Linked DNA regions of Diceros bicornis minor. The protein of the gene in region 2 interacts with the protein of the main gene of each other region in a pairwise test. Links are inferred from orthologs where the notes say so. Each region holds a gene or a part of one and is shown on either strand. Other genes may lie near its edges. The genes, in order: SLC15A4, GLP1R and CD81.

Region 1 (7,920 bases), on a different chromosome or scaffold from region 2:
TCTCTGTTCCCAAGGAGAGTCAAAAGATGGATGACATGGCCTGTGGCTCTGAAATGGCTACTGACTTAGGCCATGGCCTGATGCATAAAGATGAGCTGGGCCTATCAGAGGCCCTCTGCAGGGAACTGGGAGACCAGAAAAGCAGAAGCCTCGGACATGAGAGCTGACACTGAGCTGTCGTGACGTATGGAGTAGGTGCTCAACAGTTATTTGTTGACTGAACGAGACAGTGATGTGCAGATGGCACAGAAAGTCTGTGATGGGTACTTGGAAACCAGCCTTTTGAGGAAGCTGAAATTGGGAATAAGCAGCTGCAACTGTCTGGCAGCAAGGGGTGAGCAAGGCAGATGTGAAACAGGAAGCAGAAATGTCGTGAGAAACGCTGGAGGAATTAGATGGCCCCTGAAATGTCCTCCGTCTCTGATGGCTTCTGGATTCACTCCATCAGATAGCATCTTCTCTGAGCTCCACTCACTGAGCAAGGCACAAGGGCCAGAGAAGGAAGGGCCCTGCATTTCAGAGCAAACAGTGCATTTCCAATTCTGGTCCACACTGCAAGCCTCCTTGCAGTAAGGTCCTCTTTCCCAGAAGGCCCTTGAGGTGAAGAGGCTACCCACAAAACTGTGTTTTGTAAGACAATGTTACCCATCCCCTAGACACCTGCTGTATGAGTCAGGTCATTATTTATTTGATTATTTTAGGTGCAGAGACTCATACAATTATTTTCAAGAACAAAGGTGTATTACAAGTATACCCAACCAAGTGGTGAGAGTCGACTTACACCAATTCCTTAGCCGTACAATCATTGGGGCTCAGTACAGGGGCTGCAAACCGACTGATTACAGGGGCCAGGCAGAAAACTCTAAGACAAATTAGGCGAGGCATGAGAAAAAAGTCCAGTTTCCCTATTGTTCGTTCTTTTATTTTCCCACTTTTTGGTAGAATCACAATAGGCGACTTTTGGCTACAAGTAACAGAAAGCCCAACGCAGTGGCTTAAACAATATAAGATTTATTATCTTTTGTTATCTAACTTCTCCCTTATTATCTTTTGTTATCTAACTTCTCCCTGGTTCTCTACCGTGCCATCCACAAAGCTGGCTTCGTCCTAAACTGCTTCATCACACGGTTGTGAAACAGCCGCCAGCAGCAGTGAGGGCTCTAGGCTTCCTGATTCGTGCCGTTTGGAAGAGTGTTTCTCTCTCGCAGTCATGAAATCAGAGTCCTTTCCTTCAGCCTGACTGTGCCAATTATGTCCCTTGTTCTCTCCTGGGCCCCAGGGGAATTTCACGTTCTGATGGTCAGAGTCCAGGCTCCTGAACTCGTCACTGTGAAGAGGCATGAGAGAGTAGCATTGGTTTGACTAGTCGGATCCAGAAATGAAGATGAAAGTCCTTTCTCCTGAGCCACAGGGGCAGCTGGTTGGGAACAGGAGTGGGGTGAGGAGGACAAATAAAGACCTAAATAGAATCAGGAGTCTGTTTGGAAGGAGAAAGGGGGTGTGGCTATTGGATAAGCAATCAATAGCGCTAATCACATATTAGTATAGAGCAGGGCTGTCCAACAGAACTTTCTGCAATGGTGGAGTTGCCACGTACTGTGCCATCCAATATGGTAGCCACTAGTCACATGTGGCTATTGAGCACTTGAAATGTAGTTGGTATGATTGAGGAACAGAATTTTTCATTTTATTAAATTTGAACTAATTTAAGTTCAAATAGCCACACGTGGCTAGTGGCTACTACACTGGATAGAGCAGATACAGAGAACACTTTCCCTACTATAAGAAAAATAAGACAACAGAGCATGGGGAGGATTTGTGTGCCCCACCTAAAGACAGCAGCTGCTCCCTGGTGTCGTCAGAGAGCGGCCATGGGGGAAGCAGGTGTGCTTTCATTACCTGATGATGCACAACAAACCTACCCAGAAGTTAGCAGGTTAAAATCAACTGTTTTATTTGTTCACGATTCTGCAATCTGGGTTGAGGCTCAGCTGGGCACTTTTTCTGTTGGTCTTGCTGACAGTTATGTGCGTGGCTTCACTCAGCTCGCAGGTTGGCTGGGAGGCTGGGGCAATGGGACCCCCTTTCCACGCAGCTGCAGAGTCTCCCTCCATGTGTGACCTCTCCAGCCAGGCAGCTGGACTTCTCACATGGTGGTTCAGGGCTCCCAAGGCACAAAATGGGAAGCTGCCAGAACTTCTTACGGTTTAGGCCCAGACCTGGCCCAGGAACACTGCTGCCACATTCTCCTCGCCAAAGCAAGCCACAGAGCCAGCCCTGCGCGACGGTGACCTATGAAGAGTACGTAAGGGCACAAGTGCCAGAGATGTGGTTCAAGCAGAGTGGGAGGTGGTCACTGGTGTAACAGGCATCCGCAAGTCCCAGTGCTGCCAGAGCTCCAGTTTACTCTTTCAACAGCAACAGGGCATCCAAATTGATACGTGAAACCTCCCAATTTTTAACCCTTAGCTCATTTTTTTGGCAAGAGCCCTACTGAGACATAATTCACATACCATATAGTTCTTCCACTGAAAGTGTACGATTCAGTGGTTTTTAGTATGTTCACAGAGTTGTGCAACTATTACCACAATCAATTTTAGAACATTTTCATCACTACAAAAAGAAACCCCATGCCCTTTAGCAGTCACTTCCCCGTCTTCCCATCCCCCCAGCACCTGGCAACCACACCACCAATCTGCACTCTTTCTCTACAGATTTGCCTATTTTGGACATTTCATAAGAGATGGAATCTTGCAATATGTGGTCTTGGCTCTTTTTTTTTTTTTTAAACACTGCAGCCAAACCCAAACATTTCTGCCTGCTGGCTTTGTTTTGCACCCTCAGGGTATCAGAGACTGCAGTGCACAACAGACCTCCCCAGGACCAAGAACAACTGCTCAAAACTCCTCAGGGTACATCCTAATCTCTGAAACCGCCTCCCCTCCCTTTCTTTCACTTAGCTTTAGGCTCCTTTTTTTTAATTTATTTTTTTTGTGTGTGAGGAAGATCAGCCCTGAGCTAATATCCATGCTAATCTTCCTCTTTTTGCTGAGGAAGACCGGCTCTGAGCTAACATCTATTGCCAATCCTCCTCCTTTTTTCCCCCCAAAGCCCCAGCAGATAGTTGTATGTCACAGTTGCACACCCTTCTAGTTGCTGTATGTGGGATGCGGCCTCAGCATGGCCAGACAGGCGGTGAGTCGGTGCGCTCCCGGATCCAGATCCGAACCCAGCACGCCGGCAGCGGAGCGTGTGCACTTAACCGCTAAGTCATGGGGCTGGCCCAAGGGGGGGGGGGTAGTTTTTTAGTGAACTTAGCATACAAATATATGCCGCAGAACGCCACAGGAATATAAAAAAAAAATAGGTGAACATAACATGTTCTTCGGACACCATTTACAATTCAACAGGTATTCATTCATTCATTCAGTTAATTCCACAAATATTTATCATTGGCAGGTACTGCGCTACATTCTAGGTATATAGCAGGGGACAAAACAAGCAAAATCTCTGCCCTCCTGGCTTTGAAGAGAGAGATGTTTCACAAAATAAATAATTATAAATTATAATGGGTGCTGTGAAGAAAAAAGCAGAGCATGCTCTAATCACCTATAAAAAGAGCTGATCTAATCTGGGAGGATCAGGAAAGTGACCTCTGAGCTGACAGCTGAAGAGGACCAACATTAACAGGCAGGGTGGCGAAAGTCCTGTTCTGGCATCAACTATTCTCTCCTTAAATATTAAATATTTACCTACTGCCTGCCCTGTGTCAGCACAGTGCTGGGCATCTAGAGGTCAGACGTAGGAAAATACAAAAGTTAATAGTACATGCTACTTCAAGCCTTTTTGGAAGGACTACTTACCCGGATGACCCACAGGCAAGCCCACTTCCCAGCTGACGGCTCCATCCTGGTCTTAGCTGGAGTTAAGGATGGAGGAAGGAAGAGGAAATGGCCTCCCACTAATTCAATCATTGCAGCGTGGTCCCAGTTTCTGCAGCGATGCCGGGGTCTGTTTTTGGAGGACCCTCTTCCACCCCACCAGGTGCCAGGCAGTTGGCAGGTGCCGGGGACACGGTAAGGAACAGGACACCCAAGAACCTGCCACCATGGACCTTATACTTGTGGGGACCGCATACAAGCTGGGAAGACAAAGCAATAAACGAAACACGTGGCAGGTGCTATGGAGAAACTAAAACAGGGCAGTGGGATGGGGGTGGGAGCCACTTGAGATGGCCTGGTCAAGAAAGGCTTACAAGGAGTCAACACTTGAGCTGAGGGTCGAAGGAAAACGGGAAGCCAGCCGTGTGACGACACAGGGCCTGAGCCTGGCTTGTCCTAGGTCAGAGGTTCTCAGTGGGGGCGACTTTGCTGCCCACGGGACACTCGGGAATGTCTAGGGACACTGTTGGTCGTCAAAACTGGGGAGCAAGGGTGGAACTGGCATCTAGCGGAGAGCAAAGGCTGGGGACGCCTCTGACCGTCCTCCGAGGCACAGGACAGCCCCCACGACAAAGAACTGTCCACCCCCATATCAACAGTGTGGAGGCAGAGACCCCCGTCCTGGGGCGGGGCGGCAGGAGGCTGGGGCGCAGGGGCGGGGCCACCTGAGGAAGTCAGCCTGGAGGGCAGGCGGAGCCCCGAAGCCACCGTACGAAGTCTGGGCTTTCGAGGGGACGGTGGAAAACCTAGGAGAGCAAGGCTCTGATTTCGCTTGTCACTGACTTCTGGGGGCAAGACGGCGGCCATGTTGCCCCACTGAGGCGGAAGCGGGAGCCCGACCGGGACTTCCGGGGTGGTGCCGGAAGTCCCCGTCGGGCTGCGCGGCGGCCAGCCCGGCCAATGGGGACGCCCGCGGGGCGTGCCGCGGCGCCGGCGGGGCCGGTCTCGCGAGAAGGGCGGCGGCGGCGGGCAGAGCGGCGGCGGCGGCGGCGGGCGCATGGAGGGCGCGGGCGGCGAGCGGGCGCCGCTGCTGGGCGCGCGGCGGGAGGCGTTCGCGGGGCGGCGCGCGGCGTGCGGCGCCGTGCTGCTGACGGAGCTGCTGGAGCGCGCCGCCTTCTACGGCGTCACGGCCAACCTGGTGCTGTTCGTGAACGGGCCGCGCTTCGGCTGGGAGGGCGCGCAGGCCAGCCAGGCGCTGCTGCTCTTCATGGGCCTCACCTACCTGGTGTCGCCGTTCGGGGGCTGGCTGGCCGACGCTTGGCTCGGCCGCGCGCGCGCCATCCTGCTCAGCCTGGCGCTCTACCTGCTCGGCATGCTGGCCTTCCCGCTGCTGGCCGCGCCCACCACGCGCGCCGCGCTCTGCGGGGCCCCGCGCCCCACGCGCGTCCGCAACTGCTCGGCGCCGGCCTGCGCGGACGAGCCCTCCCGCTACTGCGCGCCCGCCGTGCTGACCGCGCTCGCGATCGTCGGCCTGGGCGTGGGCGCCGTCAAGGCCAACATCACGCCCTTCGGCGCCGACCAGGTGAGCGCGCGCGGGGCGGGGCCGCAGGGGCCGGGCGGCAGGTGGGGCGAGGACGCGTGAAGCCGAGCGCCAGGACAGGTTGCCGTAGGCGCTGGGGAGGGGTCCGCACGGGGCGGGGCGTAGGGGTGGTGGCGAGGGGATGAGCTCCTTTCCACTAAGGGGCCATTGGGGAGTGACGACGAGGGTGGCTGCAAATAGCGGGGGCTTCCTTTCTCTTGGGGGGACATATGAGTGGAGACCTGAAGAGTGTCAAAGGAGCTTTGGGGCTTGGGGATCAGCAAGTGCGAAGGCCCTAGGGCCGGGAAGACAGGGACGCCGTCCTTGCTGCTGTAGTAGCTACAGTGGCAATCATGTTGCAGTGCGTAAATGTATCAAGTCACCAAGTATTGTACACCTTAAACTCACACAAGCTTATGTGTCAAGTATATTTTAAGACAAAAGAAGTGGGAAGAGGGATGGTAGGCAGGGGCCAGGTCCTCTAAGACTTGTAAAAGAGTTTGAAGTCTGTTTTGAATACAGTAGGAAGGCTTCATGGGGTTTGAGCAAGGAAGTAATGTGATCTGATGTGTATTTCCAGTACAGGGGCCTGGCAGCTGTGGCCTGCCAGCCAAATCTGGTCTACTTCCTGTTTTTGGAGGACCCACAAGCTAAGAATAATAATGGTTCTTAGGTTATTAAACGGTAGGATGAAAGTGAAAAGAATATTTTGTGACAACTTATATGAAACTCAAATTTCAATCTCCATAAATAAAGTTTTATTGGAACACAGTCCTGTTTACATATTGCCTATGCTGTAGCCGCTTTCACAGTACAGTAGGAGAATTGAGTGGTCATGACCGAGACTAGGTTGTATGGGAAGGGATGACAGTAAGCATACCAGGTAGGAGTCTGTTACGCTGGCCAGGTGAGAGCTGGAGATTTGGACTAGAATGGAGGCAGAGGACATGGAGTGAAGTGGGTGGATTTAGGATAAGTTATGGAGGTAGAGTGGGCAGGAATTGCTGGAGGATCATATGTGAGCCGTAGGGACAATAACTCCTAGGTTTAGGTGCTAAATACCCATATGATTGCTAACATTCACTGAGGGCTTACTATGCACCAGGCCCTGTGCTAAGTACTTTGTGAGTGCACAGGACACCGCTGCTGTTATTGTGCCCGTTTTACAGATGAGGAAACTGAGGCTTGAGAGGTTGGATCATTAGACAGCTGGTACATGAAGAGCCAGGATACAAGAGCCTGTCCTTTGAATCTGAGCTTTGACCATACCTGTGTAAGGCTGTCCGTTATACCTTATAATGTTGTTGGAAATAGTAGTTGCCGGATGTCCTGAATTCTCCCTTCTCTGCACCATAGAATGGGCTTTATGTACTCAAACTCATTTGAATCTCCTCATGTGAATCTTACAGCCATTTTTCAGATGAGGACGCGGAGGTGCAAAAAGAGATGCTTTCTTTGTTGTCCTGTAGGTAGTGAGTGGTCAGGCCAGCGTTTTAGTCCAGGTCTGATGTCTTCATCTGTATTTGAACCACGGCACCAAGATGGGCGTTGCATGATGGTGCAGCAGAAGCACAGTCGGTGCAGAGATGATCTCAAGGCCCAGGTGTGTGGCTTTGGCCTCAGGGTGCCATCGGCTCACAGGCCAGCAGTGAAGTCGCAGCACTGGGAGCACAGTTCTCCCTCTTTAAAGACCAGGCCGCACAACTGAGGGGCCACATGAGTTGGTTATGCCCGAGAGTGTACTGCGTGCTCTTCCTACACTGTCTTATCCCAGCCTCACAACAATTGTGTACTGTAATTGTCCCTGTTTTACAAGAATCAGAGGCTTAGAGGGTTTGACCTGCCAGGGCCACAGCCATTGAGCGAGGGAGATGGGTTTGGACCCAGGCAGTGCAAGTTAAGAGTTAGTGCTCTCCAGTAGATGAGAGACAAGTAATTAGTATTTCTTAAAAGAATGAATGGTCCTGTAGAGGTTATCTAGAATGCATGGCAGAATATGCACTCTTGATGTGTAACTAAATGTGGATGTTAAAAGGATGCTCTGTTCTACAAGGTAACTGGCCTAATCTCTTCAAATACGACACTTTGATGGAAAAAAGAGGACCACTCTAGATTCGAGGATATTAGAGAGACTTGGCAACCAAATGGCACGTGTGTTTTGTGGTTGGATCCCAGATTTTTTTTAAGCCATTTTTGGGGACAATTGATGATTTGATTATAGACCACATATAAGGTAAAATTGCATTGATGTTACGTTTCCTACGTGTGATAATGGTTTATGGTCAAGAGAAGATTGGCCTTATTATTAGGAGATTCATGGTGAAGTCTTTGGGGTGAAATATCATGATGCTGCCACTTATTTTTAAATAGTTCAGCCTAAAAGAGTATTTCATACATATATATAGAAAAAGAGAACTGGGGATCTAAGTGAAGGGTATAGAAGTGTATGTTGTACTGTTT
Region 2 (6,938 bases):
GGCTCCCTGAGGATGGGGATGTGTCTCCCCTCAGACTGGGGCTCCCTGAGGGCAGGGCTGTGTCTCCCCTCAGAATAGGGCTCCCTGAGGGCAGGGCTATGTCTTCCCCTCAGACTGGGGCTCCCTGAGGATGGGGATGTGTCTCCCCTCAGACTGGGGCTCCCTGAGGGCAGGGCTATGTCTTCCCCTCAGACTGGGGCTCCCTGAGGATGGGGATGTGTCTCCCCTCAGACTGGGGTTCCCGGAGGGCAGGGCTGTGTCTCCCCTCAGAATAGGGCTCCCTGAGGGCAGGGCTATGTCTTCCCCTCAGACTGGGGCTCCCTGAGGGCAGGGCTGTGTCTCCCATCAGACTGGAGCTCCCTGAGGGCAGGGCTGTGTCTCCTCTCAGACTGGGGCTCCCTGAGGGCAGGGCTGTGTCTCCTCTCAGACTGGGGCTCCCTGAGGGCAGGGCTGTGTCTCCTCTCAGACTGGGGCTCCCTGAGGGCAGGGCTGTGTCTCCCCTCAGACTGGGGCTCCCTGAGGGCAGGGCTATGTCTCCCCTCAGACTGGGGCTCCCTGAGGGCAGGGCTGTGTCTCCCCTCAGACTGGGGCTCCCTGAGGACAGGGCTGGCTCTCCTCAGACTGGGGCTCCCTGAGGGCGGGGCTGTGTCTCCCCTCAGCCTGGGGGCTCCCTGAGGGCGGGGCTGTGTTTCCCCTCAGACTGGGCTCCCTGAGGGCGGGGCTGTGTCTCCCCTCAGACTGGGGCTCCCTGAGGGCCGGGCTGTGTCCCCCCTCAGACTGGGGCCCCCTGAGGGCAGGGCTGTCTCTCTCTCTCTCCCCTCAGATAGAGGGGTTCCTGACAACAGGGATCCTCTGCCTTCTCCCTGCTCCAGCTCAGGGTCTCCAAATACTGCTCACCCCCACCCCCAACACACACAGCACGCACTACCCAGACCTCTGCTCTCTCCCCACTTGGTGTCTCTGGAAGCCACTGCCGTGCCAGGCTTTGGGTGGTGGTGCAGGGTGGGGGGACATGTGGAACACAGAAGGACACAGCCCTGGCCTGAGAGAGTCCCCAGACTATTTGGGGGTGAGGTGGGGTCAAATGCTTTGCAGGACCTAACAGAGAAGGCTGTAGTAAAAGTGCTCCGGGAGTGGTTCGGGCAGGGCTCAGTGTAGATGGAGAGCCCTGGGGGACCCTGGGGACAGAGCTGGGGGTAAAGCAAGGGTGGGTGGGGGAAAGACTGGGCTGGCAAGGGCAGAGGGTGGGCATTTCAGCAGGAGGGCTCAGCAGGGACAAAGTTGCAGAAGTGGGGACACTGATGCTCTGGGGAGCTGAGGAAAGCCTTGAACTGATGTTCAGGAAGAGTTTCTAGACCAGGGAGAGAGCGGTGGGCTGCACCTGGGACAGATGTGAGGCTCTGGTCTGGGACAACGCTGGGGGCCATGCAGTCTGAGGGGGAAGTGCAGCAGTGCCCAGGTGCCCAGGTGACACAGAGGAGGGGGAACAGCCCTGGCTTTGGGCTCAGATCCGCACCTGATCCTGGCTCCCCCATAGATTAAGGTTGTGATCTTGTGTAAAAGTTCTAAGTTCTAGCCTCAGCTTGCACAGGTGCCACATGGGAATAATAATAGACCCTACCCTCCAGGATTGTTGTGAGAATTAAGTGAGTTAATGCTTAGAACGGCCTCTGGCACATGGAAAATGCATAGTCAGTGGCAGCGGTTCTCAAGATTTCTGCTGGCAGAGTGGACCACCGGGCAGCCTGGCTTCCTGGGGAATCTGGGCCCCTCCCCTCCCTCACTTCTAGGATCAACAGACTCCCAGAAGGAAGAAATGAACATATTTTCATGCCCAAGGACCAATCATTCTGCTCAATTTGTGACATCTTCCAGCAGCAACCACAGCCAGTGTCAAAGCCAAGTGGCGACACTCGGGACTCCATGCCCATGGGCAGGGAACTGTGAGGAGGGGCAAGGCCCTGGCCACCAACCCCTGCCCCATTTCATCCTCCTGTGACATTTGTCCCTGCTGCAAGCCGCTGGGTGGTGGGGAGGACACTGTGGCGGATGCCCCTGCCCTCACAGGGCAGCAGAGCTGGCCCAGAGAACAAGGCAGCCGTGAGGGGCGTAAGAGGCCAGAGTGAGGGTAGGCCGGCAGATTGTAGAATCAGGTCTTGCCAGGCTTCATGCGGTCTCTCTGATGGGGATGAAGATGAACGGGGACAATGCCTGGGGTAGAGCTTACAGTAAGGAGGGGGTGGATTTAGGAGTTTGAGGAAGAAGCAGGTGGTGAGGAAGAGGATGCCAGGAGAGAGTGGTGTGCAGGAGAGAGAGCACTGGACAGAGAGTCACGAGTCCTTGGTTTAAATCCCAGCTCTGTCTGTTCAAGTGGGACTGATGGGACACATTTTAATCTTTTGGGGCCTAAGTTTCCTCATCTTAAAACGGGCATATCATTATCCTGAGAGAGTTACTGTAGAGATCCAGCAAGACAAAGTAGGTGAAAATCTTCATGAATTATTAAGCCCTGTACAAGTGGGCCGTGTTGGAAGGAGGACGAGCAGAAGGAGAAGAATACAGATGGAGTGGTCGCTCTCAAGACCTTGGCCTCCCTGGCCCACTGAGGTGGGAAAAATGGAAGAGGGCATCCCAAGAGGAGAAAGTGGGCTCCAAGGACGACTGCTGGGACCTCCCAACTTGATGCAGCCCTTCACCTTCCCCAGTGCCTCCTCCCAGGACTCCTAGCCTCCTTCCCCTCTGCCCACCTCCCAGAGCTCAAACCATCACCCCATCACCGCTGGCCCCGGAGCCCTGCAGGGGTGGGGTGGCCGGATCCCCGGCTCTTTGAAGTCATTTTTTTTTTTCTTAAGGGCTTTAGATATCTGAGCAGAAGGGCAGGGCAAAGAAAACTGTACACACGTTCCCACATGTGTAAGAACCCTCACATGGATACACGGTCACACACACTATCACACACACTGTCCAGCACATTCTTACATACTGACACACTGACACAGAGCCTCTCTCACACACACAAACACACAGACTGTCAGGCACACACTCACATGCTGAGACATTGCCCCTCAGTGCACACACACACAGACCCCTTGACTGATGTATACTCAGCTCACACTGTCACACACACACATCCAGAGAAAGACCCACACATTCTGTCACAAGCACACCATCTCTCACCCACACATGGACACATACTGGCAGACACCCGTTCACACACTAAGGTGTCACACACAAACATATACACACACACATAGACCTTCCCATAGACACAGTATCTCACACGGGGACACAAACACATATACACTGTCAGACACACAATGACATGCTGAGATGTTTCACACAAGTGACTCCCACACAGACAGACTGTCACATACAGGGTCACGAACAAATACAGAGAAACGGGGGCTCATATAGCCCACCCCCATCTCCCGTGGTCTGTCTCTCTCTACCTATCTCTGTCACTGTATCTCTATATCTCTGTATTTGTCTATCACACACACGCACACACACACACACACAGAGGAATCTGCCCAGGGGCAGGCTGCAGCTAAGGAAGGGCCTGTTTTTCCTCAGAGCAAGGCATCCGAGAGCAGGATGCGGTTTCTTGGTTGCTCCTGCCCAGGGTCTATGTCCAGGAGGGAGCCCAGCTCATAATAAAGTCCATGCGGATGGCTACGCCCCCTGGCCTCCAACCACCCTTCACTAGAGCGCAGAGGCATGGGGCGACCAATGGCCCCTCTCCCAGCCCTGTTCTGCAGCCCGGAGAGGCTTCCAGATTCCCAAGTGACTAAAGCTGCCACTTCAGGGTGCCAGTGTCTCAGTCCTCTCCATAACCCCATGTGGTAGAGCTTGTGATCCCTATTTACAGATGAGGAGACTGAGGCTCGGGATGGTCAAGTGTCCTACCCAAGATCACCAGCCAACAGCAGACCTGACACTTGAACCCAGTTTTGTCTGGTTCTAATTTGGGGTGTCAAAGGCTTGCCGGTCTCCTCAGTAGAGCAGCTCCCTCACAGGATTTTGGGGAGGAATAGAGGAATAGAGAAGGGGGGTGGTCCCTCCCAGCAACAAGAAAGGAGTGGCCTAGCTCCCCTTCTTCAGAGGTCAGTTCAGCCATCTACCCGCCTGCAGGGAAGCGGCTCCCAGCCTGGCCAGACCTGAGAGTGGACAGGACAAGTGGGTATTAGGCACCAGCCCAGCCCTGCACCCCTTTCTCTTCTCTGTTCCTGAAGTGCTGGGTCACCTTACACAGAGAACTCTCTTTTTCTGAGCTTTTGTCCTCCCATCAGTGACATGGAGGTAGTAACTCCAGTCTTGCAACCTCATGAACAGAAACTAGAAGGCAAAATTCACCATTTTTTAGCTTCTTATACATGGACATGAAGTTGTGTCACAATCATTGCAGTCTAACCTCAAAGCCCCTGTCGCTCAGGTCTCTGCGGCAGCCAGGGGTGCTCAGTGCCCCTGAACAAGAGCATCCTCCGAAGCTCCACCCTCCCTGCTCAGAGCCCATCTCCTCCCGCTGCCCTGCTCGGTCACCCCAGGCCTCTCATGGCCCCAGGATATTCAGCTCTTGCCTCAGGCCCAGGGCTGAGAAATAACGAGGACAGAAGGAGGGGCAGGTTCAAGAAGCCCGACTCCTCTGGGAAAGAGAACTCTGGGGAGGAGACAAGCAGCTTCCAGAACCTTTCCACTTCCCTTTCCTCTCTTCCCTTAATCCATACTGGGTCTGCAAACTTGGCCTGGAGCAGGATGGGACCAGGTAGCAGAGCCTTCCACCTCCATCCCATGCCAGCCTGGAGGAGGAGGTGAAGGTGACAGAGAAGTGGGTAACGGGTCTGCGGTCCTGGCTCCCAAAAGATCCCAACTACACCAGGGAAGCCAAGGCCTGGCTGGGGTGTTGGGGGAAGGTGCCATGGCAGGGAGGGTGTCTCCTGGGGCTAGGGGCAGTAGCTGGGCTAGGGGACAAGGAGAGGGAGAGAATGAGTCTAGAAAAGAATTTGGGGACTGAAAATGGGCTGGCACCTTTGCTGGGAGGCACATCTGTCCACATCTGGATTCTCAGCCAGGGGTGGAGTCAGCCGTCACCAAGGCAATGGTCCCTCGTCTAGCACCAATTTCAAGGCCTGCACAGGCCCACTGCCCAAAGCTCTCCATTATTTAGGTCCAGGGGTAGGAGTGGGAAGCAATGGGACAAGACAGTTCCCTGACACAGGATAGTCCACCCCAGCCTCACCTCCCCTCTGCCCAAGCATCTCACAGCATCTTTGGACAACTCCCCTCTCCAAAACTGGCTGACAACAGCCCCCAGCCCAGGAGCCTGGGGCAGGAAAGGCAGGAAGGAGAAGAGGACCACACAGGGAGCTGCAGGGGGCTGCCACCTGTGGTCTGTTCTCCGGTGGCACCAAGGAGGCCAGGGTGCCTCTGCGTGTCCCAGTATGCGCCCTGGTGTGTGTTGTCAACCTGGGGGGTCAGGTGAGTGTGTGAGGGGGGCCTGGTTGCTTCCGGAAGAGCAGTGAGCCTCTTGCGTGTTTGCTGCAGCGGCTGGGGGAAGGGGGGCACTCAAGTTCCATCTGGGAGGTCACAGGGAAGGACAACAAGCCGCCACCGCAGGGTCTTTGGGGCTATGAGTCAAAGGCTGTGCTGAGGGGCCGGGGAGGGGGGAATGGAGCTGGGGGTCCACACTCTGGGCCTCTTCTCCCTCCCAGAGCCTTCTCAGGGTCTTTGACCAACGGGGCGGGTTGAGGGGGTATGCACCGCGGGGGAGGGGTCCGGGGGGTAGAGGGAAAGGTGAGATCGGGGAGGGGGCGAGACCCGGGCGATGCCGGGGCCGCAGACACAGGTTTACGAGGAGAAGGAGTCGGGAAAGTGGTCTGGGGAGAGAGACGCGGCGCAGAAGTCCGCGCAGGGCGGCTGCGGGGCAGCTGATGCCCGGCAGAGGGGCCCCGGCGGCGAGGAAGCGGGCGCCTCGCCGGGGCTGGGACAGTCGTCCGCCGTCCAAGCGCCCACCTCGGCCACCCAGTCCAGGGCGCCCAACTATCCAGTCCCTACTACCGCCAAAGCTTTCTGTTCCCTCCTCCTGCGGTCGCGGAGTTTCGCTCAAGTCCCGCCGCCCCTGCCAGGACACTGCGCCTGCAGCCCGCAGCGCCACCTGCCTCCCCCTTCCCCGGGGTCCGCGGGGCTCACCTGGGGGCGGGGGCCGGCCCTGCCCAGCGCCCCGAGCAGCAGGAGCGCGAGGCGGAGCGGGCCGGGGGCGCCGGCCATGGCGGGGCGCTCAGCACCGGGCCATCGCTGCCACCTGCGGAACCGCGCGCGGCGACTAATCCCGGGCGGGTGGCGGGCGGCGGGCGCCGGGGGAGGAGCCGGCGCGGGGCCGCCCCGCCCGCGGGGGGGCCGGGCGGGGTCCCGGGTCTTCCGCCCCGGCCGTCGGAGGTCACCGGGCCGCCCCGCCGCGTCCTCACCCCGTCCCGGGCCGGGAGGCACCGGGCCCCGCGCTCCGGGTGGGCGCCGCGCGGGGTTGGGAAGCGCAAGACCCGGGCCGCCGGCTCTGAGCGCCGCCGGGGCGCTTGCCCTGCCCCCCACCCCCGCACCCCGAACCTCCTCCCAGGTTCCCCTGGCTAAGGAAAGCCAATCCACACCCCCCTATTCAGGGTACTGCAAAGGAAACTGAGGCCGGAGGAGCGCATGGGACTTGTCCAAGGTCGCACTGCCTGTCAGACCCCTCCCGGAAAGTGTAACCCCAAGAGCTGCGAGTGACTAGTAAGAAAGATCCACCCAGCGGGGTTACCCCCTTCCCAAGTCCTCTCCTCATTCCCGGGATCTGTCCCGAAGGCAGTCCTGGGACAGCCAAGGTTGGGGGCAGGAGTGGGGAGACAATGACAAATGGAACAATGGAGCCCGGAGGGCGGGAGGGTCTGAGGTTCCCCCCACTCCGGCAG
Region 3 (7,601 bases), on a different chromosome or scaffold from region 2:
CGATCACTGTAGCTTTGCAGTAAATTTGAAATGGGAAGTGTGAGTCCAACAACTTTGTTCTTCGTTTTCAAGACTGTTTTGGCTTTTCGAGATCTCTTGCATTTCCACATGGATTTTAGGATGAGCTTGTAAGAAGCCAGCTGGGATTTTGATAGGGGTTGCTTTGAAGCTGTAGGTCAATTTGGGGCCTGTTGGCATCAGAACAATATTAAGCCTTCCGATCCGTGAACATCGGATATCTTTCCATTTATTAGGTCTTCTTTAATGACTTTTGACAGTTCGGTAGTTTTCAGAGTGCAAGTCTTATGCTTTTCCTGCTAAATTTATTCCAAGCTATTTTGTTCTGTTTGCCACTATTACAAATGGGATTGTCAGGGCTGGCCCGTGGCGTAGTGGTTAAGTGCGTGCGCTCCGCTGCTGGCGGCCCAGGTTCGGATCCTGGGCGCACACCGATGCACCTCTTGTCAAGCCATGCTGTGGTGGCGTCCCACACAAAGTGGAGGAAGATGGGCATGGATGTTAGCCCAGGGCCAGTCTTCCTCAGCAAAAAGAGGAGGATTGGCATGGATGTTAGCTCAAGGCTGATCTTCCTCACCAAAATAAAAAAAAAAATGGGATTGTCTTCTTAATTCCATTTTTGGATTGTTCATTGGTAGTGTATAGAAATAAAACTGATTTTTGTATATTGATCTTGTATCCTACCAATTGCTGTACACATTTGTCGGTTTCCATAGTTTTTTTTGCAGATTGATTTCTTAGAATTTTCTATACACAATATTATGTCATCTGCAAATAGAGATAGTTTACGCCTTCCTGTCCAATCTGGATGCTTTTTATTTCTTCTTCTTGCCTAACTGCCCTGGCCAGAACCTCCAGGACAATGCTGAATACAGGTAGGGAGAGCGGACATCCTTGTCTTGTCCCTAGTCTTCAGGGAAGGCTCAAGTCCTTCACCATTAGGTATGATGTTAGCTGGGGGGTTTGTAATGCTCCTTATCAGGTGAGGAAGTTCCACTCTATTCCGAGTGTTTCCATCATGAAAGAGTGTTGGGTTTTGTTAAATGCTTTTCCTGCATCTACTGAGACGATCACATGATTTCTGTCCTTTATTCTATTAATACGGTGCATTACATTGGTTGTTTTTTGGATATTAAACTCTTCCTTTTTTTTCTTTTTATTACTATAAAGCTGTGCCCGTCCAGCTCTGCCTTCGAGTCTCTGCCAAATGCAGGGAGGGCGGCTGACCCCCGTGATATAGCCAGCTCGGCATAAACAGCCCCTGTCAGCTTCATCTGGGTGGTCCTCGTTTATTTCCACAGGAAATCAAGGCAGAGGGGCAGGAATCAAGACAGGACAGAGTGTGTGCCCCCAAGAGAGCGGTGAGTCACCAGCCCTGGAGCTGTGCCTGGCGGACAAGCCTCTCTGTCACACAAGCTTAAAGGAGGCAGTGACCTCCTGCCTCCCAGGGCCAGGCCCTGCTCCATGGGCTTGCGAATATCCTCGAATTCCACCCACCCAAGAACACGAGGAGTAGCTCTACCGCAGACGGGGAAACTGAGGAACCAGACCAAAGTCACACGGAGGGGCAGACTCCGAGCCAAAGCCGGCTGGGCAGCAAAGGCCTGCTCTTCCCGCCCTGCTGCTCGCTACCTGACCCTCACACCATCAGCCCCACCCACCCTCAGGTTAAAGTGCAGGGAGGGGTCTCCCATCTCAGGCACGCCCTGGCCCCTCTCTCCCTCATTCTTTGTGCAGCCCATCTGGGTGCTCATCCACGCATCCTGGGGCAGGGATGGAAGATCCACCGTCTGACTGGCTGACAACAGGAGCCTTTCCCAGGACGCAACCCCAGTGCCCACCTGCCCCTGGATCACACTGGCACATGTCCTTTCATTGCTGCCTGTGACATTTAGTGTTGCGTCTCAACGTGACTGGCCACGGGGTGTCCAGATAAACATTATACCTGGGGGTGTCTGGGAGGGTGTTTCCAGGTGAGATGAGCATTTGAACTGGTGGACTCAGGAAAGCAGATGGCCCTCCCCAGTGTGGGTGGGCCTCGTCCAGTCCCCTGAGGGCCCAAATGGAACAAAGGCAGAGGAAGGAGGAATTCACTCTTTTTCCTGCCTCACCCCTTGCGCTGGGACATCTTAGCTCGTCTTTTCTGGCCCTCGGACTTCGATTTACACCATCTGCTCTCCTGGGTCTCAGACCTTCAGACTGGGACTGAATCACACCACCAGCTCTCCTGGGTCTCCAGCTTGCAGACAGCAGATCGTGGGACTCCGCAGGCTCCATAATCACATGAGCTAATGCCTCATAATAAATCTCCTTTATCTCTTCCTGGTTCTGTTTCTCTGGAGAGCCCTAATACACTGCCAGTGGGTCCCCTGTGGTCCTCACAAGGTCAAGTTAATGGGCCACTGGACAGGGCACTTCAGAAGTGGTCCCCTGGGAGAGCCCCCATGTGCCAGGCACCTGGAGGCAGCCCTGTACACCCTTGCAGCCCATTTCCCAGTGAGCCCCCAGGTGCCCGTGGGAGCCGGTTCCACTGGAGAGCGGAGGCAGCCTGCTGCCATCCGTGTTCCCATTCAGTCTGAAGCCAGGCCTGAGGGTCTCCTGCAGAAACCCTCCAGCTGCTCCCACTGCAGTCAGAATCAAACGCAGCCTCACTCTGGTCTTCACCTGTCCCCTGACCTCACCACCTGCCCCCAACCTCAGCATCTAGCCTCTTCTCCATCCCTATGCTCCCATCCCACTGGCTTCCTTTCTGTCCCTCCAACCTTGTCCCTCTCTGCCCTGAATGCTCTTCTCCAGGCCCTACAGGGCTGCCTCCTTCTCAATCTTCACAGCCTGGATCCATTGTTCACTCCTGCAAGCCCCCACACTGGAATAGTGCCCCCCATTCTGTGACTCTCTTTCAAGCATCCTGGGAATTCCCTCCCTTCCCAGTATTGACATGAGCATTGTGGGGTGACATCTGTCTTCGAGGGAAGGGGTCTTGGCTGCCCAGCTCCCCACAGCCAGCGCGTGCAATGGTGCCTGGCACACAGCTGGCACAACTAAATATCTGACGCCCGCCTGAAGAGGAGGAAGACAAGTCGGCGGGGCATGACCTGCTTTGGGGATGGTGGAGCAAGGACGCAGCGTGCATGGGTCTGCCCCCGCCCCTGCTCCCTGAGGGTGGGCTCAATGTCCTCCTCTGCCCCCTCCCCAGAGGGCCCAGGGAAGGCCTTTCTCTGAGGATACAGTTCACACTTTTGGCAGGAATGTCCTCATCACTGTGGGAAGCAGGGAGCTGATGGCAGAGCAGGGCGCCCAGGACATGTAGACATGGGTTCCTCACACCGGAGGCTTGCTCTGCCTCCTTTGCAACAAAACACATCCTGGCAGATGCCCAAGTGAAGACTTAAGTTATTTTTATTCTAGTGTCACTTCCACACGCACAAACATAACACTGGGTATCAACATGTGCTTATGGCTCTCGTAAAAGCGTGAAGCCAAAACAAATTTTAAAATTAACCACCAAGAAAACTACGAAACTAATAGAGTACAGATGAATACCATCGGGCTGCTGGCTAACATGGTAGCCACTGGCCGCCACGGCCACTCACGTTTAAACTACAACGAACGACGATGAAAAATTCAGTTCCTTGCTCGCGGCACTGGCCGTGTTTCAAGCGGTCAGTGGTCGTTTGTGCTACGGCTCCTGCAGACACACAATGTTTCCAGCTCTTCATCTTCACGTCACCTGGGGACAAAGCGCCCCTCACTTGATATGGCACCTCTCCACTTCCTCATTGCCCAGGCAGTGAGGGCAGGAGGCAGTGGGTGGGCCTCCCTGGGCTACTGGCACCATCAGGGTGTCCATGAAATACACAATATTTGGAGGTTCTCCTATAGGTGTCTTAGGCCTCCTGGACACTTAACACTGGTCTAGGGGACACCCTCTCAGCGACCTTTCCAAACACTGACTCCTCTAACAGCGGGCAGCAACTCCCCCTGTCCGCGGGACAAGGGCTTGGCTGCCTAGAATTTCGCTGTAGGATTTTCAGGCCAGGCCCCCTGACACTCAGGCTTCACCCAGGTCCTGTTCCCAGCGAGCAATGTAAACAAAGCTCGCGGCTATCTTGGCATAACCATCACCAGCGCATCATCTCCTCCAGGGAGCCTCCTTGGATATCCAAGGAGCCTGAGGGAGGAGAGAAGGAGAGAGGGAGAAGGTCTTCCCTGGCCACCCCTGGCGGCAGGCCTTTCCTCAGGCGCAGCCCCTAGTAGAGGCTCGGGGCGCGCCAGCGGCTCTGGGACGCCTGCCGCGCGCCGAACAGAGCGTCCGAGCCCCGTGGTGCTTGCGGCACTGAGGTCCTCTTAGCGTGGGCACGACGGAGGAGGGGTTGCGGGCCGCCTCGGCGGAGGCCGGGCTGGGGACCAGACTGCAGCCCCTGCGCGCCCGGCAGGCGGGGGGCGGGGCGGAGCGGGATGAGCGGGGCCGGGAGGCGGAGCCTGCCGGGCGTGGGGGAGGGTGCGGCGCCCGATAAGTGGTGGAGCGGAGCGCGCGCCCGCCCAGAAAGCGAGCGCGCCCCGGCCAGGCCTCCTGCGCCGTGTGCCTCTCGTCTGCGCGCCTCTTACGCCCCCGCTGTCGCTTTCAAGCCGACCTCTCGGCCCCCGGCCGCTGCTCGCCAGGCCCCGGCCCCGCCGCCCCTCGCCCAGGACCGGCCCGCGCCGCCATGGGGGTGGAGGGCTGCACCAAGTGCATCAAGTACCTGCTCTTCGTCTTCAATTTCGTCTTCTGGGTGAGCCCCGGCCGGGCAAGGGGGGGCGGGGCGCGCGCCCCGAGCACCGCAGGCCGCGCGCCCCGCTAGGCCCCGCAGAGGGGGCGCAGCCGGGCCGCCAAGTTGCTGGGCCACCTGTGCGCGCCGGGCGCGGGGCGGGGAGTCCTGGGCCGGTAGGCTGCGACGTTAGGGGCCGTCTGGGGCCGCCGCGCCGCTTTACGGTGGGGCGGGGGGCTGCGAGCCGGGTTTCGGGGCCTCTGCGCGTCCGGGCCCAGAGCCCCGCGGCCGGGCCGGGGCGTTTGGGCGCCTCGGGTCTGTTACCGATTGGTGATAGTCGGGGTTGCGGTGGGTGCGGGCTCTGGGCCGCGTACCCCGCCGCCGCTCAGCCCACCTGGCGCTGTTCCTGGGACCACCCTGTTTTGCGAGGATGGAGAGGGGGCTCGAGGGCGGGGCTCCCGGCGCCCCGCCCCCATGAGCTCATCGAGGCCACCTCCCCTTGATGGTCGGCCGGGTGAGGAGGGGGGCGGGGGGGTTGCGCACACTCCGTCCGAGTCTTGAGGAACGTCCACCCCACTCTTGGCCTAGCCCAGCTCACCCCCCAGTCTGCTGTCGCCATCCTGGGGATCGTCCTGGGGGTCCGGGCCCGGGGCGGAGCTCAGACAGAAAGCGCCCTGGGCCCTGATGGCCCGTGTGCTGGGGTGCTTGCACCATAGTGGCCCCGGTTTGTGTGGTCCGGTCCTCTTGCCCTCCTCACCCAGACTGAGATTCCATCCCAGCCTCGACCCCCGGAGCTTTGAGGGGAGTGGGGTCCGAGCCTGCGTTCTGAGCTGGCACAGGGCAGGGGGCTGTGAAGACCTGAGCGCCTCTGAACTCTGGGGGCCTGGGTCCGGGTGGGTGCCCAGATCCGGGCTTGGGCATCCACTTTGGAAAGAGGAGCGCCACAGGGTGGTCATCTCTGGGTGCGGCAGGGTCTCCCCGGGGTCCCCAGGCTGCTGGCCTGAGAGTTGCGTCTTCCTGACCTTATTCTTAATCTCTGCCCAGTGACTGATGACGCTTTTGCTTTTGTTTCTGTTTGCTGTCGATGTTGGAATGGGGAATGGGGTGGAGATCTCTTTTTGGCTTGGTAGGCCCCTGGATGGGTGTCAGGAGCTCGCTCGATGGCCGTGCCCTGCCTCCTCTCAGTGCTCCCCTGGGCAGTGACCAGGACCCCCTGCCGGGCCCCCTCACTGCTGCTTTGCCACCCCAGGCTGCTCACCCCTTCCCACTGAGGACCAGGGTGATGCCTGGGGGGTGGCGTATTTTTCAAGTTGACGCAGGGAGGGTGAACTTTTTAAATGGCCCCTGGAGCCAGTGTGTGGGACTGGGGACATGTGCTTGCCATCTGGACGGCCGGTGATCTCAGGGCAGATCTCGGGGCAGTGAGGTATTTGGGGTGGGGAGGACAGAGACTGGACTAAACTCTAGCTGGGGGTGGAATGGGGTGTCACATCCTACCTGGGGTGGTGTCGGTGTGGATTTGGTGTTTGCCTCCTTTGGCCCAGGCAAGTGGGGAACAACGTCCAGACACCTCTCGGCTGGCCCCTGAGCCCATCCCCTACAAGCAAAGCCTGGATGTTGGGGCGAGGACCCCGGTGGGGAGGTGGAGGGGAGGCAGAGGAAGGGAACTTCTCCAGGAGTGGATTCTTGCCTGGGGCTAGATGTCAGTGCGGGGCTAGGTGTCAGTGCGGGTGGCAAGTCCCTCCCACCTGCCCAGCCTGGGAGGTCTCCAGGACGGGACCCCTGGAGCTCAGCCTGGCTGAATCTGATAGTTTCCCAGGCAGCTGGGATGGAGGCCTTGCATTCCGGCCCGCTTTCTATTGAGGCTTAAGGAAATGCTTCCAAGGCCTCTCCTCTCCCTTCCTGGGGCCTGCCCAGCTGAACATTGAGAACTGGAGCCATCTATAGTCACCATGGCCCCACCCACCCATGCTGGGCCACCCCCTGCAGTGGGGAGATGCTGGGCTGAGCCAGGCGGGGCTGCCGGGCACCACCGTGTCAGAGCTGCTCTCTGCCCCCTGGCATCTCTTGGCTGAGAGCATGGTGCAGGGGCGAGTTTGGCCGGGTGGAGTCCCCACCCCACTGCTCTACTGCTCTGGTGCTCTGGGTCCTGGGCCTCAGCTCCCTCCCCTCTGAAGTGGGAGTCCTCAGACTCCTCTCTCCTGGGATTGTTGGTGGATCAGCTAATGGGAGTAGAGGCCACGCTCAGGAAATGGATGTTGGGCAAGGTGGCTGGCCGGGAAGACAGCCAAGGAGAGCCAAGCCTGTTGGTGTAGGCAGTGCCTCGGGGAAGGGGCTTTGGGTGCCTGGGAGGCTCCTGCAGGGCCCAGTGGCTGAAGGAGGGCTCCTGGTGCCTAGCCTGACTCCTCACCGTGCACCCCGGCCCTAGTGCAGTAAGGGGGTGCTGAGGGCAGGAGCCAGGAGGAGAGGTTGATAATAGGTATCTGGATAGGGGCACTTTTTCAAGTTCCGTATTAGAGAGTAAAAAGGCTTCCCGCGTGGGAGGAGGCATCAGAGGCAGTCTGGCATGCTTCTGCAAAGAGGAACCCGGTCACCCTGCATGCCCACACACATACTTGCTCCCCCACCCTCTGCACAGAGACCCCAGGGCCCCGTGCAGTGTGCAGTCAGCCTGCCTGCCCACAGCCTGCTTTGGGGCTCCCTGGCTGGGCAGGCACCGGGCTGGGAGGTGGGGACAGGACAGGAAGACAAGAGCAGCCACCCGGCCTGGGCGGGGGAGACAGTGCAGACGCTCCTTCCTGGAGATCCTACCCCTGGGGTGGGACCAGGAGATTC

The links.
Region 1: the proteins of GLP1R (region 2) and SLC15A4 interact in a protein complementation assay, tested with the Homo sapiens proteins (2 studies listed by BioGRID). The link is inferred for Diceros bicornis minor from reciprocal best matches to the Homo sapiens genes GLP1R and SLC15A4.
Region 3: the proteins of GLP1R (region 2) and CD81 interact in a protein complementation assay, tested with the Homo sapiens proteins (2 studies listed by BioGRID). The link is inferred for Diceros bicornis minor from reciprocal best matches to the Homo sapiens genes GLP1R and CD81.

The regions. Positions count from the first base shown.
Region 1 is NC_080774.1:3,579,353-3,587,272, forward strand, and holds the start of SLC15A4 (solute carrier family 15 member 4), read left to right. Parts: upstream 1-4,904; 5' UTR 4,905-4,938; coding exon 4,939-5,463; intron 5,464-7,920. UniProt on the Homo sapiens protein: Proton-coupled amino-acid transporter that mediates the transmembrane transport of L-histidine and some di- and tripeptides from inside the lysosome to the cytosol, and plays a key role in innate immune response.
Region 2 is NC_080753.1:26,132,834-26,139,771, forward strand, and holds the start of GLP1R (glucagon-like peptide 1 receptor), read right to left. Parts: upstream 3,060-6,938; coding exon 3,048-3,059; intron 1-3,047.
Region 3 is NC_080770.1:2,345,108-2,352,708, reverse strand, and holds the start of CD81 (CD81 antigen), read left to right. Parts: upstream 1-4,591; 5' UTR 4,592-4,724; coding exon 4,725-4,790; intron 4,791-7,601. UniProt on the Homo sapiens protein: Structural component of specialized membrane microdomains known as tetraspanin-enriched microdomains (TERMs), which act as platforms for receptor clustering and signaling.